Lepisosteus oculatus: one gene and its partner. The protein of the gene in region 1 binds, or shares a complex with, the protein of each later gene. Links are inferred from orthologs where the notes say so. Each region holds a gene or a part of one and is shown in the gene's direction. Other genes may lie near its edges.

Region 1 (7,888 bases):
ACCTTAATGGCTTTATCTCAGTTCTTAGTGTTTTAAGTTGTATTATCTCAAATAAGCTTGATTTATAATCCTAAATGCATTATTTTTGTATAATGAAAAAAACGGAAGAAAAATAAATCTTTTTGTTATGACTCATTGTTTTGTGTATGGTTTTCATTTTATTATTTTAAATATGTGCTGCATGATTTATGAAGGAAATGAAAATGAAACTTAAATTTCAAAATGGTTTTTGGACACCATTTTATTTAAATGAATATCTCTATTTAATTCAGTTATGGTCCAACTATTTGATAGTGATACAATTTATATTCACCATGTGCATACAGTACCTTTCATTTAGAGCTTTGGAGCACATTTAGTAAATTGCTTTGTTTCCCAGTCCTTATTTTTTCTCTTTCCCAACATGCTGATGCTGATGCTGAAATATAAATATAATAAAATAATGTAAACAATAGAATCCACAGCCAAAACATTGCCTTTCCTTTCTTTTCTTTTCAGCATGGAATAAACCTTTTACTTGTTCCTAATATAGTTTACTTACTCATTGTAATGAAACAAATTGAAAGGCACAATTCAGAAGTATTATTGACATTTGATTTATTAAATGGCAATAATTTAATAAAATATATTTTTGCAGGTTTGTGGCTAATATATAAACGTAATACAGCATTTTTCCATACAATCCTGTGGGTGTACCCTACCTTTGCTTTGTTTCAGTCTAAACTGAAGAGACTTCTGCTATCTCTTTGACTTTAACCTGCTATTTTAGAACCATAGATATTTATCCTAGCCTTGCCCCTTCTGATCTTCATATAGCTATCCATCATACAGTATGTGTTTTCTTTATTGTGACCTCAATGCACATTCATAAGCACCCTGTAATGCCTGGTCTTTCAAGCATTTTGACCTTCTTTTATAAATATTGTAACATTCCATGTAGTTACATAGTATACACTGCACAGAAATGGAGAATTCCTCAACACCTGTACTTTCTATATGCCTTCCTTTTGTACTTGGGGAGACACCCGGTTCAATAAGATATTCTCAATACTGACCAGAATGTAACAGACTCACAAAGATCGGGAGAAAAGCTTTCACTTCTATCCTGAAATCTAATAACCATTAGATTATCTTAAGAGCTATCGACCCATCTCACTACTGTGAATCACATACAAATTTTGGGGTACTTCCTGAACACAACAGAAAATACAATGCATTCTATTTCTTAGAATACGAATGAACTGGACATTGTGATCAGAACCACTGGGATAACATCATTCCTATATATCCATCCATTTTTAGAAAATCACTTAATTCTGGTAAGTCAGAGCCTTAGTACTAAAGTAGTCTAAAGTCTGTTTAAAGCACACTGCTGCCCACTTTTCTGTCACTCTTCCTGTGCAACTGCAGCTAGCTGGAAAATGTTTGTCACTCACAGTTGTCTCATGTTGATTAAATGAAAGTGAAAGTTCTGTTGGTATCAAGACAGGAGAAAATAATGGTCACTATACGACTTTGACAGAGATTCCTTCAAATTATAACTCTATTAGTCTATGGTTTTGCAACATCCTGCTGAAAAATGGACACTTGCAGATTTGCATGCAGGAATAAATTATTTGTTGGCTTAACTTTGTATCATTGACACAAATCTTGTTTTACAGATTTCCTTCTATATCTTCACACTTCCATCATTATGCATTATCTTCTGTCAGATCTGTGAAGGGTTAAACAGAGTTAATCTGTGAACAAAACATCAGCACCTCCACTCTCTCTGCAGCCAACGCTGACATTCTTTGGTACACAGAAGATGACATTTTAATTTCTCAATGTACTACCCATGAATGGACAAGTAGACCGATTATTTTCGTGAATATGGAAAGCTACAATCATTCAGCTGATTCTTTATTTATTTCTTCCTGGAATATCTTCTGTATCCAATGCAGTCTGAAAAGTATTATGCAGGAGGATGAGATGAGTGTAATGGTTCTGGGTAGGTATGGTGACCCTGTTTTCCAGGACATGGTCTGTCTCTCACACGGCCGGTTCCCTGGTGTCTCTGGACTAGTCTGCTGGTTGAGTTGCTCTCAAAGACAGACTAATTCAGTTATTCTAATAGCATCCACACAGTCTTTACTGCCCAAGCAGGGTACACTTGTATATTTCATGTTATTTTTATTTTGATAATTAAAATCATACCTATTGAATAACTATTAATACAGTTTCTTCATCAACTCATTTCTAGTGTTTTTATAAAATCCCATGATCCATGCTCATAATTTATCCATGGAACAATAATGCTCATTCTATACACCTTTCCCATGTTCACACTGTTTTAAAAAATAATATTATGCAGTAGATGCAACCAGTTATTGATGTCGGCTATTGATATGAACATTAAGACTGCTATATGATTGACTGATTTTTATATACAGTAGTGCATGTTTTCAGCACAAAAATGTAATTGTCACCCAGGGAAATAAATAATACCATAATTGTTGCCTGACATGATGTGACTATCTAAGCAAAGTTGCAGAAATTTGCATTGTTTGACATTTTGGTTAACATCAGGCTGTCAAGGTCAACTTACTGTATATATTTTAAGGTATTCCGGAATCATAATGCTTATTGATTTAAAATGTGATAAACAAACTAAACTAAAAAAATAAAGTAAATGAATTTCTGCAGGTAACATTTTTTTTCTCTTAAAGTTAATTTAAGTAACATTGGCAAGTCATACTTAAGTACACCTTGTAATTTGATGTAGCCAAGCTTTGAAGTATAGTGTTGTGTGACAGAGTATTCCCAGAGTATGAGGACTAAAGGGGAGATCAATTTGATGAGAAAGTTTTTTAGTTGAGTGCCGGAAAAAAACACTGTGCCACAACATAAGGCAGGAACGGTAAATCAATTTACAGAATATTCCAGACAATGAAGCAGAAAAGTGTTATGGATAATCATGTCCTAACTTTCTTATTTTTTATATTTTAATCAACTGGCATGTACATACAGTAAAAAGGTCCTATGCACTATGTCTGGAAGGAGTGGGTACTGTCACCATACAAATATTTTGGCGGCAGCAGGTTGGTTAGCAGTAGAGTTGGTGTAACAGAACCTCATTCTGCCTCCTTTCGCTCTGACAGTCATGCTTCCTGTGCAGATCTCCTTTCCCCTGCAGTCAGAAAACAGACATGTCTGTTGCTCAGGGTCAGTAATATTGTGTTGCATACAACCGCAACAGAATGGTACACAAGCTAGCTCCTGCATTACTTTACAGAGATACTTCGGATTCTCTGCTGTCACTTAATCTGAGTTGCAGACTGTCCTGGCCCTTTGAAAGAGAGGATTCCACTGACTCCCACAGATCTGCGACCCATAGTGCATTGCAAAACTACTCACCTGTTGAACGAGGAACACCTTTCGGTGTTAGAGTGTGTACTGTATGCAGCCACAATGAATGATAATAATGAATAATTGCTTACACTTACATAGCGCTTTTCTGGCCACACCACTCAAAGCGCTTTACAGGTAATGGGGACTCCCCTCCACCACCACCAGTGTGCAGCCCCACCTGGATGATGCGACGGCAGCCATAGTGCACCAGAACACTCACCACACATCAGCTATTAGTGGGGAGGAGAGCAGAGTAATGAAGCCAATTCACAGATGGGGATTATTAGGAGGGCCATGATTGGTAAGGGCCAATGGGAAATTTGGCCAGGACACCGGGGTTACACCCCTAATCTTTTTGAGAAACACCATGGGATTTTTAATGACCACCGAGAGCCAGGACCTCGGTTTAACGTCTTGGCTCAACGACGGCGCCTTTTTATAGTGTAGTGTCCCTGTCACTATACAGGGGCATTAGGACCCACATAGACCACAGGGTAAGCGCCCCCTGCTGGCCCCACTAACACCTCTTCCAGCAGCAACCTTAGCTTTCCCAGGAGGTCTCCCATCCAGGTACTGACCAGGCTCACACCTGCTGAGCTTCAGTGGGTTGCAGGGAGATATGTCTATGACTAATTAGGATTCTCACCTAAAATTTCCCTTAATCCAGCCATCCAAAAAATACCAAGTTCTAACTGTTTCATCCAGTTCAGGGTCACAAGGGAGCAGGTGTCTTTTCTGACAAGCAATGGGTAAAAGGCAGGTATACATCTTGAACTGGACATCAGTCCAATTGCAGGGCACACATAGACAGACACAAACACACACCACTGGACTGTGGGAGGAAACCAGAACACGGAGTAAAACCCCACATGAACACGGGAAGAACATACAAACTCCACACAGATAGCACCTCAGGTCTGGAATTAAACCCAGGGCACCAGCACTGCAAAGAAGTAATGCTAACCACTTTGCCACTATGCCACCATTTCTCTTAATTTCTAAAGTATCTTTCTTCAAAGAGTTTTTTCTTTCTGTCTGTCTTCCCCCCCCCCCCACACACATTTTATTCCAACATGAGCTACTCAAACTCGATGCAGTATACAAACTTCAGCCCACAAACGTCTCTAACATACTCTCTCACCCCGGGGCAGTCTGCAATTCTGCATGCTCTTGCAACACCTACGTGGCGGATGACCAAATGCCTGAGCTCACTTCTAAGCTAGAGAGAGGGAGTTCAAGTTGACCAAGGAGTGCCCTTCTTTAATGCAGTAAAACACTCACACAATGCTTTCTGACATCCCACAGGGCTAGAATGGATTTAAAGTTGTATATGAGAGCCGAACGGGGTGACATCATACCTTTAAAATCCAAAGGCGGGGTTCCACTCACGCGTCAGCTTTGCAGAACACACACACTCAAAAAGCCCTGTTCACATTTGATATTTTACCAATTAAGGATTTTAAATAGGACGCAAAGGGGAGAGAGAGCGAGAGAGAGAGAGGGAGAGAGTTAACGAGAGGGTGTCACTTCTGTTCTCCCGTCTGTCGAGGAATACGAACTCATTTCCCCAAGAGAAGCACTTGGGGAGGGAAGAACATTTCGTGCTATAACACAGAGCAACTTTTAACGCAAACCTGAAAGAGATTGTTCGGTGTGCCTCCGGTCGCTGAACCAATCGAATACAAAGCTAAAAAGAGTAAGTTTTGCAGCTTTTAACCACATATTTAGTAGCGGGCTTGTCAACGTTGCGCTTTAATTTTAAATTCACATTTTGGGAACTGCTTGTCTTACGTCTTACAGCGGCTATCGTAAGTAACGGCGCATCACAAGTCTAATGATTAGCAATTCTTTTACGTTCTGCCATTGTCAGAAATCTGTTTATGAGTAATTATATGGGACTGATTGATAAATTGCCAAAACAATCAAATAGTTATATGGGTCAAAATGGAAGGGCTTATATTTTAAATTGTAGGGTCTTATTAATCTGGTGTTGTGATTTGTCGTTGTTTGTAAAGAGTAATTATTCCTTATTTGATTTTTATCTTTGGAGTTTTGGAAGCAGTTGATTTGTGAAAAGCTGATGCTTTGTGTGCAATCTTTGTTTTATGACGATTAAATGTGCTCATGAAAGCTAAATAGAAAAATGTCAGCTACAAATGACAGTGCGCTTATACAAATTTGCATGATATGGTGCATTGCCATATCAATTGCACCGTAGGTTGCAATATAGATGTATTAAAATATTCCATGTGCACAATTGTTTATCTGGTCGTAATGTCATTATTATTAGTTGCTGTTGAAGTGGAGTGCATTTACAGGTGTCTTGTATCCTCCGCGCATAACATGATTTTAATGCATCAGTCATGTAATCTAATTAAAATCTCTTCACCAAATAAGGGAAACTATGAAAAAGTTTATGTATCTGCTTCTGCTAATCGGGAATATTGGATGTTGACGGTGGCGCCCACTAGTGGTAACAACCGTTTTTCAACATGAAATCAAGGAATATTTTATAAAAAAGAATGAACGTTATACTTTGAATGTTTGTGGCTTTTTATTACCATTTCAGTCTTAATGTAGACTTTTGGCCGTTTTTGTTATATATTCCTGACTGTTTTATATTGTTTGTGTGTCAGATCGTTTCAGGCATGGTTAGTACACAAACTACACCCCCCATTCCTCTAGATTAAATTCTGTGCATTAGTGCACCATATGCAAGTAAGTATCAGTTATTTATCTTTTTTCAGAAAAAAAAAACTGCTCATAGTGTATGTTATTGAATTTTCCAGGGCGGACTGTGTGAATTGACTGTGTTGGTTGGTGCAATTTTTCCAGATGTTTAATAAGTAAATAAAGTTCTGTGGGGCAGTTTAAAAATAAAAAAAACAATAATTTGCATTAAATGAGTGATAAGAGTAGAGATATGATTTGAAGTTCGCAATATGAAACACGTCTATAAAATGTTTTCAGTTAATTGTAGGCTGACAACGGCTAGGTGCAGTGTAATTTGAAAACAACAGTGTCCAAGTTGCAGAGAACAGTATGTCAACATGAAACGATGGTTAATATAAAAGTTGTTAAAAGAACTCATCACGCCCATGCCATGCCAGCCACAGTTAGAACGAAACTACAGGATGAGATGTTTTGGTAAACTCAAATCAGTGTGTTTCATTTCTGTGAGCCGAAGACAGGATATGTATCGTTTCCTTGCGGTTGAAGCTGCAAAAACTGGGTCACTGACTGTTTGTGGGGTGTATTTTTAAAATTCTTAAGAAGAGCATTTGGTGAAAATTTCTGCAGAAGAAACGCGTACTGAAAATAAAAGGGTGTGGTCCGTGTGTCGAGAGAGGTAGCGCGATGCAGAAAACTGCAGCGCCATAGCTATAACACGGTTACAGGTCGAGACGTGTGATATCGCTCAACATTACTGATATGCCCCATATTTTTCTACAGTACTGTGCTTCCGTTGGCTATGTCATGGCAGCACACATCACTCTTAAACTCCTGACACATTAGCTAGTAGTTATTATATACTTGCTATGGTAGAAATAAAAAAAAATCATGTTTGTGATAGAAACTATCACGGTATACCTACTGTACGCGTTTTTATGTCGGCTAGTAAGTGATACAATAAAAAAGATGTTAGATGCTATTCGGTCAACAGTTGTGTTTCAGTATAGATCTGATAGTAGCAAACTCTTCCGCGACTGTTGTTTGCTGAATTATGCCATAACGTGTTGTTGAACTACATTAACGTACGTCACAGTTCTGCGTACTTAATATACCGGTACCAACGATAAATCCATACTATTGTAATGATACATACCATTAAATTATTGGTTTAATTGGAATTTGCCCAGGGATATTGAATACGTTTCCTGCGCAACAAGACTTTCCTAATACTCGCGTTAAGTATGGGTGTAGAAATCCGCATAATGGTTTTGCCAGATATTTAAATTCGGGGGATACAGGATGTTGGGAAATCACATTCAGAGAAAATGCAATATCACTGCGGAATTCTGTGCAGGATTAGGCAGTTGTTTGAACGGGACTGCTCATATTCTCTTTCAACACTGTGGTAGAATGTCCTGAGACATAAAGACGAATAGCCCGCAGTGTGATCTGACGTAGAGTTTGGCTGTTGTCAAGGCGACAGGACTTCCGGAGTATTTGCAAAACTGGACAATGCACAGTGAAAATTATTAGCTTTAGTATTTGTTATAGGATGCCTTCAAAAGAACAACACAGTTAAACGAGACTAATTTGGAGCGCTGCCCCGAGAAACACAAGTTTGTAACAAAATATTATCCGAAGATTTGAGCCAATACAGCACCATCTGTTGCTGAAGTTGCTGTCAAGCCTCCAGGCGTCTTTTTTAAAAGAATTCCCGAGTGTCGGATTCATCAATAAGTCTCTGGGAACTTAGTTCCAGATCACTACTAGCTTCTCCTTGTAAAGAAATGCCCCTTGTTACATTCCTTCCATCTCATCTCGAAAC
Region 2 (7,110 bases), on another chromosome or scaffold:
TTCTTAAGATATTGAACGAGAGCTGTAACTCATCAATCCTTACTAATTTATCTGTTCCACACCTATTCTCATCCAGGTGTGTGCTCTGGAGGTAAGTGGAGCTCTTCGGATCAAAGGGTCGTGCTATGCAAGTGTCTGATTCCCACCGGCACTTCGGCACCTCTTAGAAGTTGCTTGGATGGAAATCAGATGGCACACGCTTAATAACCAAGGAAGGGTGGAGCTCTAGTTGCTACATTTCTTCGAGACCCCTGGACTGAAGACCGGGAGACGCACAGGGCTCCTCCAGGGCCCAGGTTGAGCACCAGTGTTAACACCCTTAAACTGCCAGCTGCTGGGCCAGTTGAGCTCTCTGAGGAACGCCCAGTGTCTTTCGCTTTTGTTCTTGAGATATTAAACGACGAACCTGAAGATCTTCTCACTTTGACACGTATAGGAGGTTTCCTAGGGCTTTTTACATTTGGTAACCCTAAACTTTCACTTCATTTTGTGACGTTCTTGGTGTTTCTGCCCTCGCCGCTCCTGCCCTGCCGTTCATCCCTCACTGCCAGGGTGCGAACCCGGGTCTCTGGCGTCACGCTATGGGGAACTTGCCAGCTGAGCTAAAGGAGACCTCCCTCAGCCCGGGCCGCTGAGATCCCTGTGATACGCAAGGCCGTATTCGTTACAATTACAAGTACAGCTAACCCAGCTCCAAAACTAGGTTGGTTTGGTTTAGGAAATTAAAAAAAACTGTAACACTTCTTACATGTGAAGTGTTACAATTGTATGATTAGACCGGTTCTGTAACTGGGGGGGACAAACCCAGAAGATGAGGGGACCCTCCCCCTGGAGCGGAGCTGAACCCGAACTGCACCAGTTTCCCTTCTCCTCCTGCAACTCCTGTCTTTGGTCAGGAAGGCTGGGCTTCTGAGGGTTTCCCCTGCTGCCCAAACCCCACGGCGGGCGTCGCTCGAGAGAGACCCGGGCGACGCCGAGTGGCTCTGGCAATGCGCGGCGGGAAAGGGCTGCACACGAGGCAGGGGCTGACCACTCGCTCCTGCCCGGGATGTCCCCACTGCCGGGAGAAGCCCGCAGGGCGCAGGCTTGTGAAGGGAGGATGCCCAGAGACGACAGAACTGTGGTTCTCATTCGCTACATTTCAGACGGCCTGTGGAAGTTCGCATCAACTCGGATGTGCTTGGGTGTGCTCGGATGCACTCCGGAGTGAAGGGTAATTCTCAGAAAGCTTGCAGTCGGTTCCAGCTCCTGATCTCCAACTGCTTTCCTTTTACATCAGTTCTGCTTCCTCAGCCAATTAACATGCACAGTATAATGAGACAGGATCAACACGTCAGCCGATAGGAAACATCCAGCTAATAGCACTCCATTTCAAAGTGGCTGCATCACAACCTGTGTCCGTCTAATTCGTATCACATTAATCTGTTTCAACAGCTGAGTAGCAAAGGAACTTCTAGTCCGGTATGCTTGTAGTCTGTCAATACTGTCTGTATTGGTCTTAGTAGGACAGGTGTAGTCATATAACTAATTGAGAGTGCCATCGAGAAGGTGTTTTTGGGGTGGTTTCAATGTTCGAATTCCAGAATTAAGAGTTCTAGAATTGCCCTATGAATCACATCGAGGGGTTTCTTTCATTCTATTTCACTTGTTTCTTTTATCTGTTACATTATTTAAGCCGATATGTCTATCAAAAAGCAGACTTGCGTGTACAGTGCTGATCTGGACAACCGTCTCTACGGCTGGGTATTTTACTGTCTCCTGGGCCCTCCCGGGCTCTGAACACAGAACCATTCTCGACTCAAGAGCCCTTGTCACTGTTCTGTTTCCATTCCAGCTATCAGCCAGGTATCAGTCAGTACCTTTCAACAATGGTGCATTCGATGTGACTCAGACCAATCTTTTACCCGTGCTTTTGAATTAACTTTAATAATTTATTTAATAATTAAATGAATTTCAAAAAGGCTCTTGCCCGTCTGTGGTTAATTGCACAACTTCAGCGAAGTATCGGTGGTTGCAGCAATTTGCACTCTCTATGTTGTAAAACGGGGGCTTGAGGTCACGAATTGTCTTTAATCTGTTTTTATTATTGCCTCAGTCCTTCCGCCCCGCCTGACCTCAGCCCGTGACAGGCTGGGGCCACGCGCTCCTCCGCCAGGCTCCCAGTAGCAGGAACTCGCGCGTCTTTCTCAGCGGACGAGCACGAGTTCCTGTTTTTAGCATTTCCTGCTTCGAGTTTGAGCTACACAGCTATTGCCTGTGCACGGGTACTCCCAAGTATAACGTTCCGTAAAACGCCGCTAATGAAATCAAGTGAAAACAACAACGCACTCGCCCCCAAAAAAGAAACTACAATCAGGAATAACGGAGTTGGAGCCTCTCTCCGTAGGCGGCCGTTCTCCGGTACGAGAAGCAGGAGTCGTGCAGTGACAGTATCCTGTCGCTAGATGGAGACAACGCCTTGTTTTGAGTCCGCAGGCGGCGGAGACAGACTTGGAGGCCAAGTCTGGACCGATTTAGGAAATGAGAGCTTTGTACCCCCTCTGTAGTCAGATCTGAATTGATGGCGGAAGAATTAGTCTTTATTTGGATTGTAGTCTGTTTTGAACAGTGATGACTCCGAATCATTCTACAACACACTTCATTCTGCCGATCGAAATTGATCTCGTCTTTATTCACTCTAGTCTTACCGTAAGTGTACGGCTGAGCTCAACCCTGTCCTCACGTACTGTGAATGTTTAAGTGTAATGCATTGGAATAGAGGCGCCTGCTAAGGAAAGAACAATCCAGCTCGACTCCCGGCGCCTCGGAGTTCAGCGTCATGGTCAAGTCACACTCCTGGAGAAACTGGGCAGTGGACTGCGACTGTAAACTGTTTTTGATCCCAGAGCAGTTGATGACCACTCCCATGTAGTAATCCACAACGAATTTATCACTCAGGTTGATTCATAAAGTATAAGTACTTAGGTGTACACATAGACCGTAACCTGTGCTGGTCTACTCATGTTGAGAGTGTTTGCTCATCAATTCAGCAGCGCTTAAATTTCTGGAGAGCGTTTGGGGTTCGACAGGAAGTAATGCTACTCTTTTACCATGCTAATAGTTTGGTAATCTATCAGTTTATTTAAACATTGCAAATTACCCGCCTCATCCACACAGCTTTGAAGGTCGTGGGAGTGAAACAGCACCCCTCCCTGTAGACAATCGTTGAAAGATCCATAATCAAACAGGCAGGAAAAATTATATCAGATCCTTCCCACATCCTCAACTCTGAATATCAACTTCTTCCTGCTGACAAACGTTTTAGGGTTCCCAAATGTAAGTCAGATACAAACATTCCTTTGTTCCACTCTCCATTAAAGCTGTCGACGCAAATGTTAAGGATAAACACAATTTTGACTCTTACAACCCACTTGAGCGCAATATGTTTTGTGAGGTGTTATAAATGTTACATGTTGTTACGTGTTATACGTGTGCAATAGAGTGATGTGCAATGTTTTTCTTATTTTTTTGTAATAGAATAATGTGCAATGTTTTTCCTTTCTTCTTTTTGGTTTGCATTCTATTTAAATGTACAGGAGTGCTGTGTGTCCATAAAACAATTCCCTCAGGGGACAATTAAATCTTATCTTATACATATATAACTAATGTTTATAAAAGGGTGTCTGTTTCACGAGATTAACCCTCCTCAGAGACATCCCCTCAGATCCTCAACTCTCAAGAATAACTTCCTTCATCGAGTCATGGCCGAACGAGGACAAAAATTTACTTGATTATCACCGAAACGGCACTACCAGGTGCATCTAAGCAAAGTGTAGCAATTGTGGTACAGAATGAATAAGAATTTTTATGACGTTTTAGAATACGAGAACCGAAAGGTTTTTGTGGTAAAATCTCAATTTCATTTCAAATATACAGTACAGTGTATTGGGTTATATCCTATATCACCGTTATTCACCCCACAAGTCTAGGTTTTAAACTCCAGATTTTTCAGGATAATAGAAATATATTCATGTTTCATAACTAAAAAGCTAACTTCAGCGGCAACTGTCGACGCTCCCTGGAGCTGCGAGCTCGAGCGCCTGTCTATTGGGGCACGTGTCAGAAACCGCTCGAGCTACTCCTGCAGGCGCGTGAAGCTGCGCGTGCCCAGCCCTTCACAGACCTGCAGATCTCGCCTCGCGCGGACCGGCGGACGGAGGGTGACGGGCAAAACACCACGGTTATCGTGAGTAAAGATGACAAAAAACATCTACGAAACTTGCTTTCGCATCGCGTTGGTGTCGTGGCCGGGTGTTCAGTGCAGGTATTCGTCAGGATTTACGGTGTGGTGCTTTTCTGTTACAGCTCCTGCCCAGTTGAGAAGTTTCCGAGTTTCTTATTGGAAAAGCCTGAGAGAGACGAGGCAGTTGGAGCATTTCTGTGTCTTAGATGTGATGGTGTGAAGATGATTGGTTTTGTTTGATTCACGTATTTTCCGATACACAAAAAAACAAAATCCATTTCTTTCTGTAGCTACATGCGACACACAAGACGGAAACTTTCTGGTCCGGGTTTTTATCCTCATGTGTTCCCTGGTGCTACAGTACATCACCCCTCGGTATCGGTTCAGTTTTTAAGAATGTAAAGGTTCATTATGTTGTGTCCTTACGCAGTTCTTATCACGAACCACCCCCGGCCCCGAAGAGCCAGATTTCCAGGTTAATTAGGACCACACTTTCACGGGGGTGTTTGAAGACCTAATTCGAACATTTATACGTTTATTTTTGCTCCACGAAACGTACCCCCGATTCGCCCGACGGGACAGAAAGCTGTTTCAGAAGTTACTGGAGCTCCCTGCTGAGCGCAGCTCGTACTGTGGGTGACGCCGAGAGGTCTGGAACCGTGAATAATGTCTCAGTCCCGCGTTGTAAGCGCCACAGAAATGCAAAACTAGGACGAACTGATGAACACAACTGTCGTGGCCTGGTAAAAAAAAATTCCGTATATAATTGGTGTGATTTTAAATGTTTCGTCCTGTGAAATTCTCTTTGCTTCGGCAGTCTATTCGGTACAGCCCCGAATGAAAGGCCAAAAGGGGCTGAGCGCAAATCTGGCATCTCAGTTCAACGGAATTAACTTGATGCCCGCCAAGATCTGTCGTGATTTCTGTGTTAAGAGCTTTAAATGGCGCCCGCGATGCACCGTGTTGCTGCGCAGGTAGTGAAACGGGCTGCAGGAAAGTGGGAAAGGAAGGGAGGTGTGTGGAGGCTTCAGGTGTTGCGGTTTACACGTGTTGTTGTTCGTGTTTTGATCGCGGAGCTGGAGGTTGGTGGCCGCTGGTTCTCGCCGAGCAGTCAGGCGCGCCTCTGCGGTTCGACAGACAGGAGAAGCGGGGGTCTAGCCCTGCAAGGGTGTGGACTTCAAAGGCGAGAGGGACAGGATACAAATAATAATGATGAAAAAACAACTGTTGCGAGAAACTTTAGCTTAACTGATGCTCCAAACGTGAGATGCGAGGTGCTAATTCAAACCGGAGCTGGGTCGCGCTGTGGATCCGAGGGGCGTATCAACCCAAGCGATTTTGCCAGACTTTGTGTTTTTACCACACTGCGTTGAAATAGGTTTTGACCATGAATCTCGCTGCGTGCTCTCTGGAGTTGCAGTTGGGCGGCTGCGGACGTGTTTTGATGCAGTGCGTGCTCTTTTGGGGTTTCGATGGATGTTTGTGCCGCAGCTTCGCTGACATTTCGGAGGCGCCAATGTATCAGGTGAAGGAGGCTCTTCTCTTGCTTCCAGCCTCATCCTTCAGCAAACGTTTTCAGCTTCTTTCGCACCGCTGCAGGGTGGCACAGGGGTCAGCATTGCTGCCTCACAGCACTCGGGCCCTGGGTTACAATTCCAGTCCTGGGGTGCTGTCTGGGTGGAGTCCGCATGTTCTCCCATGGTTTATATGGGTTTCCTCCAGGTGCTCCAGTTTCCTCCCACAGTTCAAAGACATGCAGGCAGCTTAATTGGCTTCTGGGAAAACTGGCCCTGGTGTGAGTGTGTCTGTGTGTGTTCTGTGATGGACTGGTGTCCGATGGACCCTGAATTAGATAAAGAGGTTGGAAAATGGATGGATGACATAATCATTTCTATTTTTGCTATATATTCAAGAAATTTGTATTTGAGATGAAAAGATGAATTTGATGCAAAAGTACAGAATGTCGCCTTTCATTTCTGGATATTTCTGTGCTTATATGGCGTGCAGGTTCAGAAGAACACCACTTTTTGTGTTTTATCCCCCCATTTTAAGTGAACATAGGTATAGGGAGAAATTAACGTAAAGTAGTATAAAACGTGATTGTTTGGTTGCTGATCTTTTGGACACAATAACTGCATCAAGCGTGTGACCCAGGCGACATCGCCAGGTTCTTGGGTTGTTCTGTTGAGATGCTTTGCCAAGCCTTTGCTGGAGCCATTTTCAGAAGCTGTTTGGTTTGGGGGGTATCTGACCTCACTCATCCTTTCAACAGATGTGTAACGAACAGTTCTATCCGGACCCTATGTGGACGACACGATCCAGAATAGTGAGGAAGGAATGCACTAGTCATGCAGGAACAGGGATGAAAACAGGGGGGCGTGTCCATACGGTGCTGGTGATCCGGGGAGGTGTGGTCGAGGCGAACAGTCTAAGAATAAATCCAAAAGAGGGAATCCAAAAACGAAAGCAAAAGGTCCAAGGCTGAGAAATCTGTCCAAACAGGAGATTAAAATCAGGTGCTGGGTCGGGACCGGCTGGGGGAACAAGGACAGGAGCAGGAAGTTAAAAACATGACGGAGCCGGGCACAACCAGGTCCTGTGCTCGCACGATGCGGGGATCAGATGCAGAGCCCCGGGTGAAGTGAGCGCCTGGCTCCTTACTGAGGAGTTTTTGGCTCCTCTCCTCCGTTGTCTTCTGGTCTTTTCTGTTCTGTATTCACAACATGTAAGGTCAATTGCTTTGTTAAGGGCCCTGGGGCAACCTTGTTGTGAAAGGCGCTAAATAAAAATCCACTGAATTGAATTGAACTATGTGGTCATTACAAGCAATGAAGAATGTCGTTGTACACCTTGATCGTGTAACTGGCATTGAAATCCACTTTAAAAAG

The links. The genes of interacting proteins can lie anywhere in the genome.
Region 2: the proteins of flna (region 1) and itgb7 are in contact, whole or in part, in a crystal structure (PDB 2BRQ), measured with the Homo sapiens proteins. The link is inferred for Lepisosteus oculatus from reciprocal best matches to the Homo sapiens genes FLNA and ITGB7. Residues at the interface, in NP_001104026.1 of Homo sapiens: Thr2263, Gly2267, Ala2268, Gly2269, Gly2270, Leu2271, Ala2272, Ile2273, Ala2274, Val2275, Glu2276, Gly2277, Pro2278, Ser2279, Lys2280, Ala2281, Ile2283, Phe2285, Phe2311; in NP_000880.1 of Homo sapiens: Pro776, Leu777, Tyr778, Lys779, Ser780, Ala781, Ile782, Thr783, Thr784, Thr785, Ile786, Asn787, Pro788.

The regions. Positions count from the first base shown.
Region 1 is NC_090697.1:66,962,117-66,970,004, reverse strand, and holds the start of flna (filamin-A), read left to right. Parts: upstream 1-4,848; 5' UTR 4,849-5,086; intron 5,087-7,888. UniProt on the Homo sapiens protein: Promotes orthogonal branching of actin filaments and links actin filaments to membrane glycoproteins. Anchors various transmembrane proteins to the actin cytoskeleton and serves as a scaffold for a wide range of cytoplasmic signaling proteins.
Region 2 is NC_090696.1:20,659,760-20,666,869, reverse strand, and holds the start of itgb7 (integrin beta-7), read left to right. Parts: upstream 1-4,102; 5' UTR 4,103-4,225; intron 4,226-7,110. UniProt on the Homo sapiens protein: Integrin ITGA4/ITGB7 (alpha-4/beta-7) (Peyer patches-specific homing receptor LPAM-1) is an adhesion molecule that mediates lymphocyte migration and homing to gut-associated lymphoid tissue (GALT).